Bombyx mori: one gene and its partners. Each later gene encodes a partner of the first gene's protein in a complex. Links are inferred from orthologs where the notes say so. Each region holds a gene or a part of one and is shown on either strand. Other genes may lie near its edges.

Region 1 (4,701 bases):
TTGAGGAAACAGTTAACTTTAACGAAATAGCAGGATTGCGCCGATATATTTAATAACAATTGTATTAAAGGTTTTGGTATATATAGCTATACTGAAAACTGATATAATAAATTTGTGCACTTAATCAATTTATTCCAAATTATATGAAAATCAAGAAAAACTCATGCTGTAACATTCCAAATTTGCTAAATTGATAATTGCTATCGATTTAGTATTACAAAAATCTGGAATTGATACTATTCTGATGCGTTGCCCTTCTTCTCCTGAAACCAATTATGTTTTTAAATTTCTTGTTCTATTAAGGGAATATTGCCAAGAATTTTTAATTTATAGAATGTTTCAAACCTTCATATAAGGTAGTTCCAAATTCATCAGCATTTCCACTAAAATAAATAGCTGGACAGTTATAAATAATAAATGGATCTGTATCCACACTTGGGGTACAAGGTACCGTATCAGGACATGTTGGTGCTAAATGCCTCCATTCCAATGTTTTTTTAAGTACCTCTTGACTATTATCTAAGTTACTATATCTCATTATATCCTTTACTGGCTCTCCTGAAGTACCTAAACATAACAACCCTAAAATAAATAATTATATGTTTCAACCAAATTCCTCAGTTAACAGTAATAGTAAATGATATATTTTCATAATGGCTAGCAATGATCCTTACCTCCTATTTCACATTCATAAGGATTAGAAACACGGCGGAACGATTTGTATTCAGTAGCTTTAGGGAACAAACCTATAATAAGATTATTATGAGTGTAAATTCTTTAATTTCCAGCATTAAATAGCAATTTTGTTCTGAAAAAGCCTGGTAAAATTATTAAGTAATGATAATTTTAAGCTAACCTATGGATAAAATGGATACTTACAGTAATGAAAAGGTTTTTGTGGTAACATTACATCATTAGGATCTTTGCATCCTGGCATTATGTCTAAAGGAGCCACACCACTAATAGCTGCTGCCAATGAATCCACCAATTCTGCTGACGATATGACATCTGATTCATTTAGAACACTTTCATCTGAATGATTTGCAAACACTCCACCTAGGAATTAAACATTTTACGTTCTTTACTTTTTGTGTTAATATTTGTTTAAGTTAGTTTATATTTTTCTATAATATGTATTTTTTGTGTGTACAAAATTAATATAAGTCTGTTAACATTTTGAACTTGCTAACAGTGCTTGTTACTCTCTGTTTCGGCACTCCTCTCCGTTTACCAAAGTAAATTATGCATGCATAGATTATTCCTATTAAAGTGAACTGCCATATAATGCAACTATTCAAACCAACATGGTATGTATGTCGTTGGTTTGAATAGTCACTACTTTAGACATGATTGAAATCTCGATTATAATGTATTTGGTGACTATGTTACACTACAACCCAGAAACAGCATTAGTAACTTCCCAAGCCAGCACACATTATACTTCTAAATCCTTACTTACTTTATTTATTTATTTTATCTATTTATAAGTTTTTACTTGATTATTAAATGTTATTTATGCCCAAAGAAATAACTTTAAAACACTAATGGAGTTTCATACAATTTCATAACATACATACATACATAAACATGAACCATTTTAACTTTTAAGCTTATAGTTTACCGGCTATTATAACTCGTACAATTTTAGAAACTTCTTCTTGATAATAAGATGTGCCTGCTAATCCTGACATCCATTCCAAAAATAAGTGCAAGGACAAAATTTGATCTGCAGACTTTGATGCCATATTTAAACCCGACATAAGTACTATGTATCTAGAAGGGAAAAAAATCAATTAAGGGAATGTAGTTTATTTTGTTACATACTATGTGAACCTTTAGCAACAGTGATTTTTATCCAGCATATAAGTTGATGAAATAACCTGTCTTCATTTCTAACTGGAAGTGGTTTTTGTATACTGCAACCAGGCCAACAGACATCTTTAACAGTAAATATACCATCCTCATCTTCAGATCCTATAATGAAAATAAACTTTAGTGTTTTATTTCAATCATCATAACATAGAACAGATGATTATGGATTTTAAATACCTAAAATTGCACATACAACTCCAGTGACTACTTGATGGATATCTATAACATCGCTTACAAGTTTGATTCTTTGCAATTCATCTTCTAACACAAGGCTATCGGAATCATGGACGAAATGAGTCCTAAAAGATAGAATTTTTAATATTTCAACATTACCTTTTAATTAAACAGCATTTTATTAAATGTAGAGTCCAATTTACCTAGTTGGTTGTGGTATAATCTCAAGCTGATCTGAAAGCTCTTTCAGAATGCTTGGTTTCAATTCTTGCAGTTTGAACAGTGTTCCAATTATAACACAAGAGGTACCGCTTTCACGTAAATCACAAAGCTTTAAAATCTTGTATTTATTTGACCACTTATTTTTTATCAGCGGAGTCAAAATATTTCGGAATGTACATAACCTAGCTGAATATATATGGGCGTACTGCTTGGAAAAATCTCGTGGTGCTTCATAAAACCGTGTAGAACTATCAGTGTAGTCAACAATTTGTCTCTCTAGATCGTGGGAAGAGAATTCCTCATCTGCTGTTGATTTCGGCGATACTTTTAAAAGCATCTTATTGGTGCTTAAAGTTTATGTTGTGAATGAATTTCCTCTCTTAGCTATTCGACTTATTAATTTATTCACTTCACTTGTTTTTTTAGACCTTCCCCAGACTTTTAATAATTCTTTAGCTTCAGTTATTTTTTCATTAATTTGCCGCTTTTTTTAAAGGGATTTTATGACCTGGTAACTAAGACTTTTAAGTCATATCTTATTTTAATGTATATTCTTATTTTTATGAAAAATTATATTAAGGAGTGAAGTGAAATGAAATGAAATGAAGATGATTAATTTGAGACATTAATCAATTAGGATGAAATTAAATCAAATGAGATGAAATATAATCTCAGTAAAATGGTGGTCACTTACTAAGATTTTTTCAGTGGACTTCTTGGAGGAAACCGAGAAGCTACGTTCAGTGGCTTTATTTTATTTTCCCACATTTGTGCACTTCCACAGATACTAAACAGTTAATAAACCACCGTTATTACACATTTAAACCTGAAAAAACACTAAATAGACAAAATAAAACAAATCACACAACTTCACTGCTCGCGTTCCCGCCAAAAAGTCCTATTAGAATAAATTTAATAACCATAGATAATACACTTAATTTAAAACAACACGTTGTACGCAATGCAGCCCACCGGTGGGCTAACGTACTATACCATTTGGGCCAAGCTAAAATCAGAAATGAGTAATTTTATCAACTTGAGATTTTAATTCTAAAATTCATAAAATGCAATAACTTCCACGGATGATAAAAATTACCGTCTAGTTTATAAGATATTTTAAGATGTCTTGATAAAAACTACAATTTTCTATTGGATTTGAAAACCAACGCGTTCGGCTAGGCTAAAGGGCCACGCGGCTCACTTCCATTTTGTTTGATTGGTGCAATCTGTGGCTTGTAAGAAACGTTTACGTTTACGTTGTAACCCTCACGCGGCTCACAGGTGACTCCTAATGGCCCGAACGGTTCAGTAAGATAAGGCTCACCGGTGAGCAACGTGGCCTGAATGAAAATATCGATTTTTTTCATGTGGCGTTCAACGTGTTAAGTGAGTTTAAATTAAGTTTTCGGGACACATTTACATTTGACCTGGTTTTATAGACTATGACCCCTTCGCCCATTAAAGTGGAAAATGCAACTTATGAAAGCAGTTTGAAGCGCCAAATTTATTTCAAAAATATTATATAAGATACCTACCTACCTACGTACCACACAAACTAATCTAATCAACTAATACAAATTTTAACTCTCCTTATTGTTGTGGTGGTCTATTTAAATATAAGTATGGCTGGAGTTCAAAAAGTTTGCCTTAATGCTTTAAATATTAACCAAAAAAATGCACTCATATTGGGTATCATAATAGCTAAAAATAGTCCTCGTACCATCAGTTCACGGAGAAAAAATGGGGAATCTAGAGCCGTTACATCTTTCACATTGAGAGATTCAGAAGTCGATACAATCAATATTGATGTGTGGGGTTCGGAATACTTTGTGTTTACTTTCTATGAACGTTTTCTCGTTGGTGACATTGGTTAGTACTTATCTGTAAACATCTTAAAATAATAAAATCAAAATCCTATTTTAAATCCTGTTTTAAATTGTTTTCTTGCAGTAGAAATTACTGCACCCAAGATATGCATTAAAACTGGTGAGAATGAAAATTTCAGACCTCAGGTAAGCTATTCATGAAAACTAAAGTATTCGACATGAAATAATATAATAAATACCTACTTAATCAAACTAGTAAATAGCTAATATTTGCCCGCGAGGTCGTCCGCGTGGAATAGTCACTTTGGCATAACGCTAAATTTTACCCGCGACTTCATTTACGTGGAAAGTGAAAATATTTTTGAATAGTAGAATGTTAATGAGCTATTTAAGGTACCAAAATCACGCTTCTTAACTGACTTCAAAAGAGGAGGTTATCAATCCGACCACCTTTTCTTTTCTTTTTTTTCCTACCTAAGCTGATAGCCTTGAGAGGCTTATACCTATCAACGTCGCCTTAACTAGTAGGTGAGCTCACGGGGCTCAAACCTAATGACGTTGCTAACACGAACCCTAGCAAGAGTCGTGCTTCGCAGAATCTACCACC
Region 2 (4,087 bases), on another chromosome or scaffold:
TGACCCTAGCAAGAGCAGTGCTTCACAGAATCTACCACCGGATCGGAAACGCGATCCACTGAGAAGATCCGGCGAGAAACTCAGTGGGCTGTGTTTATGGGTTAATTCGCTCGTCGAGCCCTTCGTCGCAAGCGACAGGTTCGGCCATGACGGTGACCGGTGCTTGTGTACCTAAAAGCACCATTAATGGATCGGAAGGATCTAATGACGTGTTTTTTTTTCGGTCTACAGGGTCGGGTATATAGTTTCCAGCGGCCACGACAAGATGCTTTTTATGTCGTGCCGCCCTCTCAAAGTGCGTTCTAAGTATCGGTCACCGTTCTCTTTGAATGCGACGAAGAGTTCGCCGTACTTACAACATATCCCGCAGACCTTATCTATTGAATTTCTGGTGTAAAATGTTTTTAAGTAATGTAACTACTTCCAAGCAATTAATTAGTAGAAAATAATACTTTTCATTTAATTGTATTCTGTTACATATATTATTATAGTTTAATGTTTAGGACCTAGCATTATCTTCACTATGTTCTAAATGATTTTCTTTTTCAGTGATAATGGTCGAACGAGCACGAACAGAAGTGATTAGTATCCATTATAATAAACATACGTTTTTATAAACATAATGAATAATATACTGAAATTTTAAAACACGGGTAGGCTTCTGCAATTCAAACTTGCGCCGCATTTGCGAATACAAATAATAAATTCTAAAGATATTTCAGTCTATGTTATTCATTCTGTCGTAGAGGGCCCAAAGAGCCATCTAGTATTAAGGTGTTTACTAGAGCGTATACAAATCACCCACGTTAATGTCGCCGCCTACATAAACTGAGTCTCAACTATATTTTACAGACCTGGGATATTAAAGAGTTTCAATAGAGATCCTAAAAATAATAAATGTCTATCTTTAGTGCGTAGATCAGGTACAAAATCAGATCAGAAAAGATAATATGAAGTGAAATTAAACGAAGTTGATTAATTTGGAACATTAATCAATAGGCATGAAATGAATTGAAATGAAATGATATGGGATGAAATATAATATTAGTAAAATGGAGGTTTTTTACATCTTTTTAGTGGTCTTTTTGCAAGAGTCCTAAAAGTTATGTGCAGCCTTTATAAAAAACTATAACAGACAAATATTTTCTACATGGATACCAAGTTTCAAGTCAATCGGATGCATGGATTAGTAGTTACAACGGAACATCCATAAAAACCACTGTAGATTTAGATATTAGTATAGATTAGGCAGTATGGTATAATACCTTTGCCTTTCCAGTTGAAAAAGTAGAACTACCACTGAACTGATATTTGACAGTTCTTAAATTGAAAAAATCCCGCGTTAAATCCTACAGATTGATTGAAAAATCTTGACTTAATTACGTTAAATTTTAAAAAGTAGTGCTTACATATTATTTAAAGGTATAGAACCTCCATGTCAAGTAAGTGAAAGATTAAATTTATCTCCCGTTAATCTCAGTGCACAATTAGGTAGTTAATCTATGTTAATTACGAGGACGTAAAAGCAAGCTAAATTAAAACAATATTGTACACAGACAAAATGGACAGGAATAAAACTAAAGGTCCTCCTCCAAAGAGGTTTAAATCTGGCGACGATGACGATGAAAACGATACTCCATTTAGTTTCGAAGAACAACTGGCTTGTATGGACACTGGTGATATTGACAGCCAAGAAATATTTGAAGGTGAAGGACCTGAAAATCAATCTTCGAATATGAAATGGTCTCGTCCTCCACCGCCTATACTGACTCCAAACCGAGAAACATTAATATTTCAACAACTCGACATTGATCATTATTATGGCTCACCAATGAATGGCATGCCTGGCTCCCAATTGGCTCCCGTACCTATAATGAGGATGTACGGGATAACTTCAGAGGGAAACTCTGTTTGCTGTCATGTACATGGTTTTACACCATATTTTTATGTCACTGTACCAGTAAATTTTACAGAATCTTCTTGTAACGAAATGAAAACAAATCTTAACAAAGCAATATTAGAAGATTTAAGAGGGAATAAAGATAATATTAAAGAATGTGTCCTTGAAGTGCGTTTAGTACAGGCCAAATCAATTATGTATTACAAAGGTGATTCCAATATTACATTTGCAAGAGTTTCAGTAGCACTGCCAAAATTAATTGCTGCTGCCAAAAGACTGATCGAAAGGCAACCTCTATCTTTTGGATTGATGGATCCTCAATTTTATGAAACAAACATCGATTTTGATATACGTTTCATGGTTGATACTTCAATTGTTGGATGCAGTTGGATTGAACTACCTGTTGGGAAGTGGTTTTTAAGAACAATAGATTCAAAAGTGAAGCCTGAATCTAGATGTCAGATTGAAGTGGATGTGGCATGGAATGCTTTCATATTTCATCCACCAGAAGGAGAGTGGTCAAAAGTGGCACCATTCAGAATATTAAGTTTTGATATTGAATGTGCTGGTAGAAAAGGTATTTTCCCAGAAGCTAAACATGACCCTGTAATTCAAATTGCATCCATGGTCATAAGACAAGGTGAAACAGAACCATATTTAAGAAACGTATTTACATTGAATACATGTGCTCCTATTGTAGGTTCACAAGTACTTAGTTTTCAATCAGAGTCTGAAATGTTATCTAAGTGGTCTGATTTTTTTCGCAAATTAGATCCTGATATCATTACTGGATATAATATTAGCAATTTCGACTGGCCATATCTTATAAATCGTGCTAAACATTTAAATGTGCAAAAATTTGATTTTCTGGGACGAATAAAAAATGTAAGATCTGTTATAAAAGATACAGTCTTGCAATCGAAACAGATGGGTCGAAGAGAAAATAAAACCATTAATTTTGAAGGACGAGTTCCTTTTGATTTATTGTTGGTATTAGTTCGTGATTACAAATTAAGGTCATATACTCTGAATGCTGTCAGTTACCATTTCCTTCAAGAGCAGAAAGAAGATGTGCATCACAGTATAATCACAGATTTACAAAATGAAAGTGAACAAACCAGAAGGAGATTGGCAATGTACTGTCTTAAAGATGCTTACCTCCCACTAAAACTTTTAAACAAATTAATGTGTATCATTAATCACATGGAAATGGCTAGAGTTACTGGTGTTCCTTTACTTTGTTTACTAACAAGAGGGCAACAAATAAAAGTTGTCAGTCAGCTACTACGCAAAGCAAAAGAAGCTGGATATTTAATGCCAGTATACCATAGCCAAGGTTCTGATGATCAGTATGAAGGAGCCACAGTTATTGAACCCAAAAGAGGATACTATGCCGACCCTATTTCAACCTTAGATTTTGCATCTTTGTACCCGAGCATCATGATGGCACATAATTTATGTTATACAACTTTAGTTCCCCCTAATGCTCAAAACCAATTTAATGTTGCTGACAATGATGTTACTATAACACCTTCAAAAAACATGTTTGTAAAAAATCACATCAGAAAGGGCCTACTACCAGAAATTCTAGAATCACTACTCGCAGCAAGAAAAAAAGCAAAGGCAGACTTGAAGGATGAAAAAGACCCATTTAAAAGGTCAGTTCTGGATGGTAGACAACTGGCTTTGAAAATAAGTGCAAACTCTGTTTATGGATTTACAGGTGCTCAAGTAGGAAAATTACCATGCTTAGAAATATCTGGTAGTGTCACTGCTTATGGCAGAACTATGATTGAATTCACTAAGTCAGAAGTAGAAAAGAAATACACTAAAGCTAATGGATATAAAGAAGATGCTGTTGTTATATATGGAGATACTGATTCTGTAATGGTTAAGTTTGGAGTGAAAACTCTTGAAGAGAGTATGGAATTAGGAAAAGAAGCAGCTGAATTTGTTACAGCAAAGTTTGTAAAACCTATAAAATTAGAATTTGAGAAAGTATACTACCCATACTTACTCATTAATAAGAAACGATATGCTGGCCTTTATTTTACTAGACCAGATAAATATGACAAAATGGATTGCAAGGGTATTGAAACTGTTCGAAGAGACAATTGTCCTCTTGTTTCTAATGTAATGAGCACTTGTTTACAGAAGTTGCTCATAGACAGAGACCCAGATGGAGCT
Region 3 (4,225 bases), on another chromosome or scaffold:
GACTTTTAGACTATGCCTATGGTGGCAGGACCTCTTGTGAGTCCGCGCGGATAGGTACCACCACCCTGCCTACTTCTGCCGTGAAGCAGTAATGCGTTTCGGTTTGAAAGGTTGGGCAGCCGCTATAACTATACTTGAGAACTTAGACTTATATCTCAAGGTGGGTGGCGCATTTACGTTATAGATACCTATTTATGGGCTTCAGTAACCACTTAATACCAAGTAAGCTGTGAGCTCATCTAACCATGTAAGGAATAAAAAAAAAACTTTTCGGCGGGAAGGCGAGGAGTGGAGTTGTGTGATTTGTTTTATTTTGTCTATTTAGTGTTTCTTCAGATTTAAATGTGTAATAACGGTGGTTTATTAACTGTTTAATATCTGTCAAAGGGCACAAATGTGGAAAAATGAAACAAAGCCGCTAGACGTAGCTTCTCGGGATCCTCCAAAAAGTCCACTGAAAACGTCTCAGTAAATGAACACCATTTTACCGAGATTATATTTCATCTCATATCATCTTATATCTTTTCATTTCGTGCCATACCATGTTTTATATTAATCAACTTCATTTCATTTCACTTCATATTATCATTTTTCATAAAATTAAGAATATAAATTAAAATAAGACATGACTTAAAGGTCTTAGTTAACAGGTCATAAAATCTCTTAAAAAAAAAAAAACTTCAGAGTAGACGTGCGCTAATCATGTTCGGAACTGGATTGAACATGACATCGTTCTTTTGAGTGTCGGAACTAGTTCCAGTAAACATGTTCGCGGAACTGTTTAGTTTCACGAACATGTTAAGTCTAGTAGCTGTTTGTAGTTTGTAGCTGTTTAGTTCCGCGGACATATTAAGTCTAGTAGCTGTTTGAAGCTGTTTAGTTCCGCGGACATGTTAAGTCTAGTAGCTGTTTGTAGTGTAGTGAATCACGTATTAAGTTATTATTAATTACACAATATTTTTCAAAAAAGGTATTAAAAAAACAATTTTTTAAAAGCACTATATAAAAATAGATTGCCGCTTATGGCAATTATTATTGTAATTATTATTTTGTAAGGTTTTTAGTTTTAGGTTCATTGTTACAGCTGGTTGCATAATTTATTAATGTACTGTAATTACTTTGTCATAATTTCAACTACTCTACTACTTTCATTATTTTTCAATGTAGGTATTGTACGATGCACCGAAAACTATAACCTATCAGTTGTTAATTAAAATACCACGTTATTCTGATATACAACGTAAATTGAGCTCGTTGTAGCCTTACAACCTTTTTCCCATAACCGAGATACCGAATAGCGAAAGTGGTGAATGTTTTAAAATTCTCGAATTTTGAATTATGATTTTCTAAGAAATGGTCTACAAACACTTAAGGTTAAGTGCTCGTAGGAATGATGCATGGTCAAGGTCAAAATCCATAGCAAAACATTTTAATTTAATCAACTATCGACTGTAACACGTAGGTCGTAGAGCATAACTTCAATATTAATAAAAATGTAATATGAAAGAGCTCCACACGCAGTTTCATGCACTCGCTCCATCTCACTCTCTCGTATTCGTGCCATATGTCGCCTTATCTCTTTACGTGGACTCGTGTCGGTTCGAGACTCGTTCGGGTGGACTCGCCGCGCCACGCCTCCGCGCCGCGCGGTACCTATGCTCTAATCATGTCCGCATGTCCGTCATGTTCAACGCGTTCGTAGTTCCTGCATAACAGTACACTTGGAATGGAAATGGAACTGTCTGAACATGTTAATTTTGACAAGTCGGATTGAATGATATAGTTCCATATGAGGACATAGTTCCAGGAACTATTTAGTTCCGGAACTACGCATGTCTACTTCAGAGTTCAGAAAAGAATTGATAGGTAACTTAAATTAACTGTTTACTGTTTGAATGAATTTGTATTTATAATGGATGAAAATAAGTCAGAGAGCTTAAATTCTATAAAGAACATAATCTTAGATGAGCGGCGTTTAGTGACATACACATCCATTAGTAAAGAATTGTGCATTCATGTAAATAAGGCGAAAATATTTTTGAGAGAATTTGTTGATGAATTGAGAAAGAACAAGCCGAATGTTGGTCTTTCAGTCAGCTACATTATCTCGGGATCCTTAAAAAACAATAAACTTCTAACTATTCTTGTACTAGAAGAAGAATTAGTAAGCGTGAAAGACAAATTCAGTACAATATTCTTTGAGCATATTTATAGTGTATGCTACGGCCATTGTACAAGTATAGATAAATCAGCATTTATAGCTATAAACACCTTCGAAGATTATTTGTTATGTAAAGGTACAGTCAAAAACAATATTTGTTCAAAGAGATCTTATGAAGAAATAGGCACTTTAAAATTTAAGAGCCAGGAAGTACCCGAGAAAAATCTGAAAAACTCCATAAAGAAAGATTCGAAAAACAGTATTAAAGAAGAAAATCACAATACACAGAATGAAGTGAAAACTATTAAAGATCATGATAAGAAAACAGATCCTGTAAAATCTGAAATTCCATCACCAAAGTACAATTCTGTTACTAACAATAAATCTCTTGATAAAAAAAGTAATGGAAAGTCTAATGGGAATATAATGGGATTTTTATCAAAAACACCAAATGTTAAAATGGATATTAACAAGAAAGATAAGGGAGATATTGAAAACAAAACAAAAATAACAAAAAAATTTGATAGAGAAGAAACAAACATTGATGATAGCTCTAAAACCAATGGAACTGAAATTAAATTGACAGAGAAGAAGTCAGTAAATAGTATAATCGCACAAAAAAATGAAGCATCAACTCAAAAAAAAGACATCAAAGTGGAGAAAATAGATATTGAAGTTAAAGTAAGAAATAAAAAAACTAACCAGGGGAATTCTTTTGGAAAGAAACGCAAAAGAGTATTGCATGTTTCTGATAGTGATAGTGATTGTGAAAAATCAGATTCATTGGCAGATGAAATTACTTTGGAACGTGAATCTGAAGATGAAATTCCACCAACTCCATCAGCTACCATTGTTACCATAACACCTGGGCTTGTTAATGCAAAAAAGAGGAGAAAAATCATAGATAAAACTTATACAGATGAAGAAGGATTTATGTTAACCAAAAAAGAAGAAATTTATGAGAGTTGTTCAGATGATGAAGTGCATACAAAAGAGAATGTTGATATTAAAAAACAAGTCACCGTTGAAACCACTGCTCTGAAAAATGTGCCAATAAAGCAATCAAAAAAAAAGTCTTCTCCATCACAAAAACATAAACAACCAACCATGATGAACTTCTTTAAAAAAGTACCAAATTAAATACCATCCTATGTAACCAAATCATGGAATAAAATAATTATACCATCAAGATATAGTGGATGCCAGTTCAATTGTTTTAATAAGGATCCAATTCTCTACGTACATTTATATACTTACAGAATGTAATAGGTTAACCTTCAATAAGCGCAGTTGGCATTATAATTTCTAAAGTTTGTTTAGGTAAATGGAAATAGGGAAGACAAGGTTGAGATAATTCTGCTATCAAATACTCAGTATTTATATAAAAAAGAAAGATAAATCAGTTCAGTGCAATATTTTCCCAGTTACACTGAAAATTTCCTTTTTTAATTTAGTAACTAGTGATGAGCTTTTGTAATATTGTTATCATTAAAAACAATCAGGAAAATTTTTACAAGTTCCACTTTTATACTAAAAAATGACAACAACAAAAGTATAAGTAGGTAGCAAAATTTTAATCTTATTGCTAGTGATGATGTTCTGACTTTGAACAGCAAGTTAGGATCGCTAATACTTACGAGTCATTAATTTCATTATTTCATGCCAATAATTTCCAACAGTTGTAAACCAAATATTAAACAAAAAAAAATATTGCACATACCGACATAATATATTCATGTACAGATATAGTTTGATCCCTCCTGGCTGAGCCCTTGCTTACCTACCTATCCTGGTGAAACTAGGAAAGCCTCCGAGAGAACAGTAATCTTTCAATCGCAAAAAAAAAATGTTTGACAGCTTTGTTAAGGATTATCGAATGTGATCTGAATCAGATAATGTAGATGATTGTAACATCATTATTTTTATACATTTTGATATTATGTTTTCGAATCTTTGCACCCTTGAATTTATTACAGTTACGCTATATATCTGTATAGCCTGTAATTCTGTGGATGGAAGGATTCTTTAAGAACTTATTACACTTGTTTTATGTCATTAACTTTA

What was found. Proteins that work in one complex are often made in the same cells at the same time.
Region 2: DNA polymerase delta subunit 2 (region 1) and DNA polymerase delta catalytic subunit share a complex: the UniProt entries of both Homo sapiens proteins name them as parts of the tetrameric DNA polymerase delta complex. The link is inferred for Bombyx mori from reciprocal best matches to the Homo sapiens genes POLD2 and POLD1.
Region 3: DNA polymerase delta subunit 2 (region 1) and DNA polymerase delta subunit 3 share a complex: the UniProt entries of both Homo sapiens proteins name them as parts of the both the DNA polymerase delta and DNA polymerase zeta complex. The link is inferred for Bombyx mori from reciprocal best matches to the Homo sapiens genes POLD2 and POLD3.

What each region holds. Positions count from the first base shown.
Region 1 is NC_085117.1:13,261,903-13,266,603, reverse strand, and holds DNA polymerase delta subunit 2, read right to left. Parts: upstream 3,163-4,701; 5' UTR 2,963-3,162; intron 2,784-2,962; 5' UTR 2,606-2,783; coding exon 2,250-2,605; intron 2,172-2,249; coding exon 2,050-2,171; intron 1,975-2,049; coding exon 1,881-1,974; intron 1,774-1,880; coding exon 1,622-1,773; intron 1,057-1,621; coding exon 880-1,056; intron 747-879; coding exon 675-746; intron 583-674; coding exon 346-582; intron 264-345; coding exon 151-263; 3' UTR 125-150; downstream 1-124. Other genes in the region: uncharacterized protein LOC134199621, read left to right, coding at 71-124; meiosis-specific with OB domain-containing protein, read left to right, coding at 3,891-4,137, 4,219-4,280. UniProt on the Homo sapiens protein: Accessory component of both the DNA polymerase delta complex and the DNA polymerase zeta complex.
Region 2 is NC_085116.1:10,632,158-10,636,244, forward strand, and holds the start of DNA polymerase delta catalytic subunit, read left to right. Parts: upstream 1-1,287; 5' UTR 1,288-1,435; coding exon 1,436-1,442; intron 1,443-1,507; exon of another isoform or gene 1,508-1,556; coding exon 1,557-4,087. UniProt on the Homo sapiens protein: As the catalytic component of the trimeric (Pol-delta3 complex) and tetrameric DNA polymerase delta complexes (Pol-delta4 complex), plays a crucial role in high fidelity genome replication, including in lagging strand synthesis, and repair.
Region 3 is NC_085112.1:7,020,458-7,024,682, reverse strand, and holds the start of DNA polymerase delta subunit 3, read left to right. Parts: upstream 1-1,425; 5' UTR 1,426-1,912; coding exon 1,913-3,301; 3' UTR 3,302-4,225. UniProt on the Homo sapiens protein: Accessory component of both the DNA polymerase delta complex and the DNA polymerase zeta complex.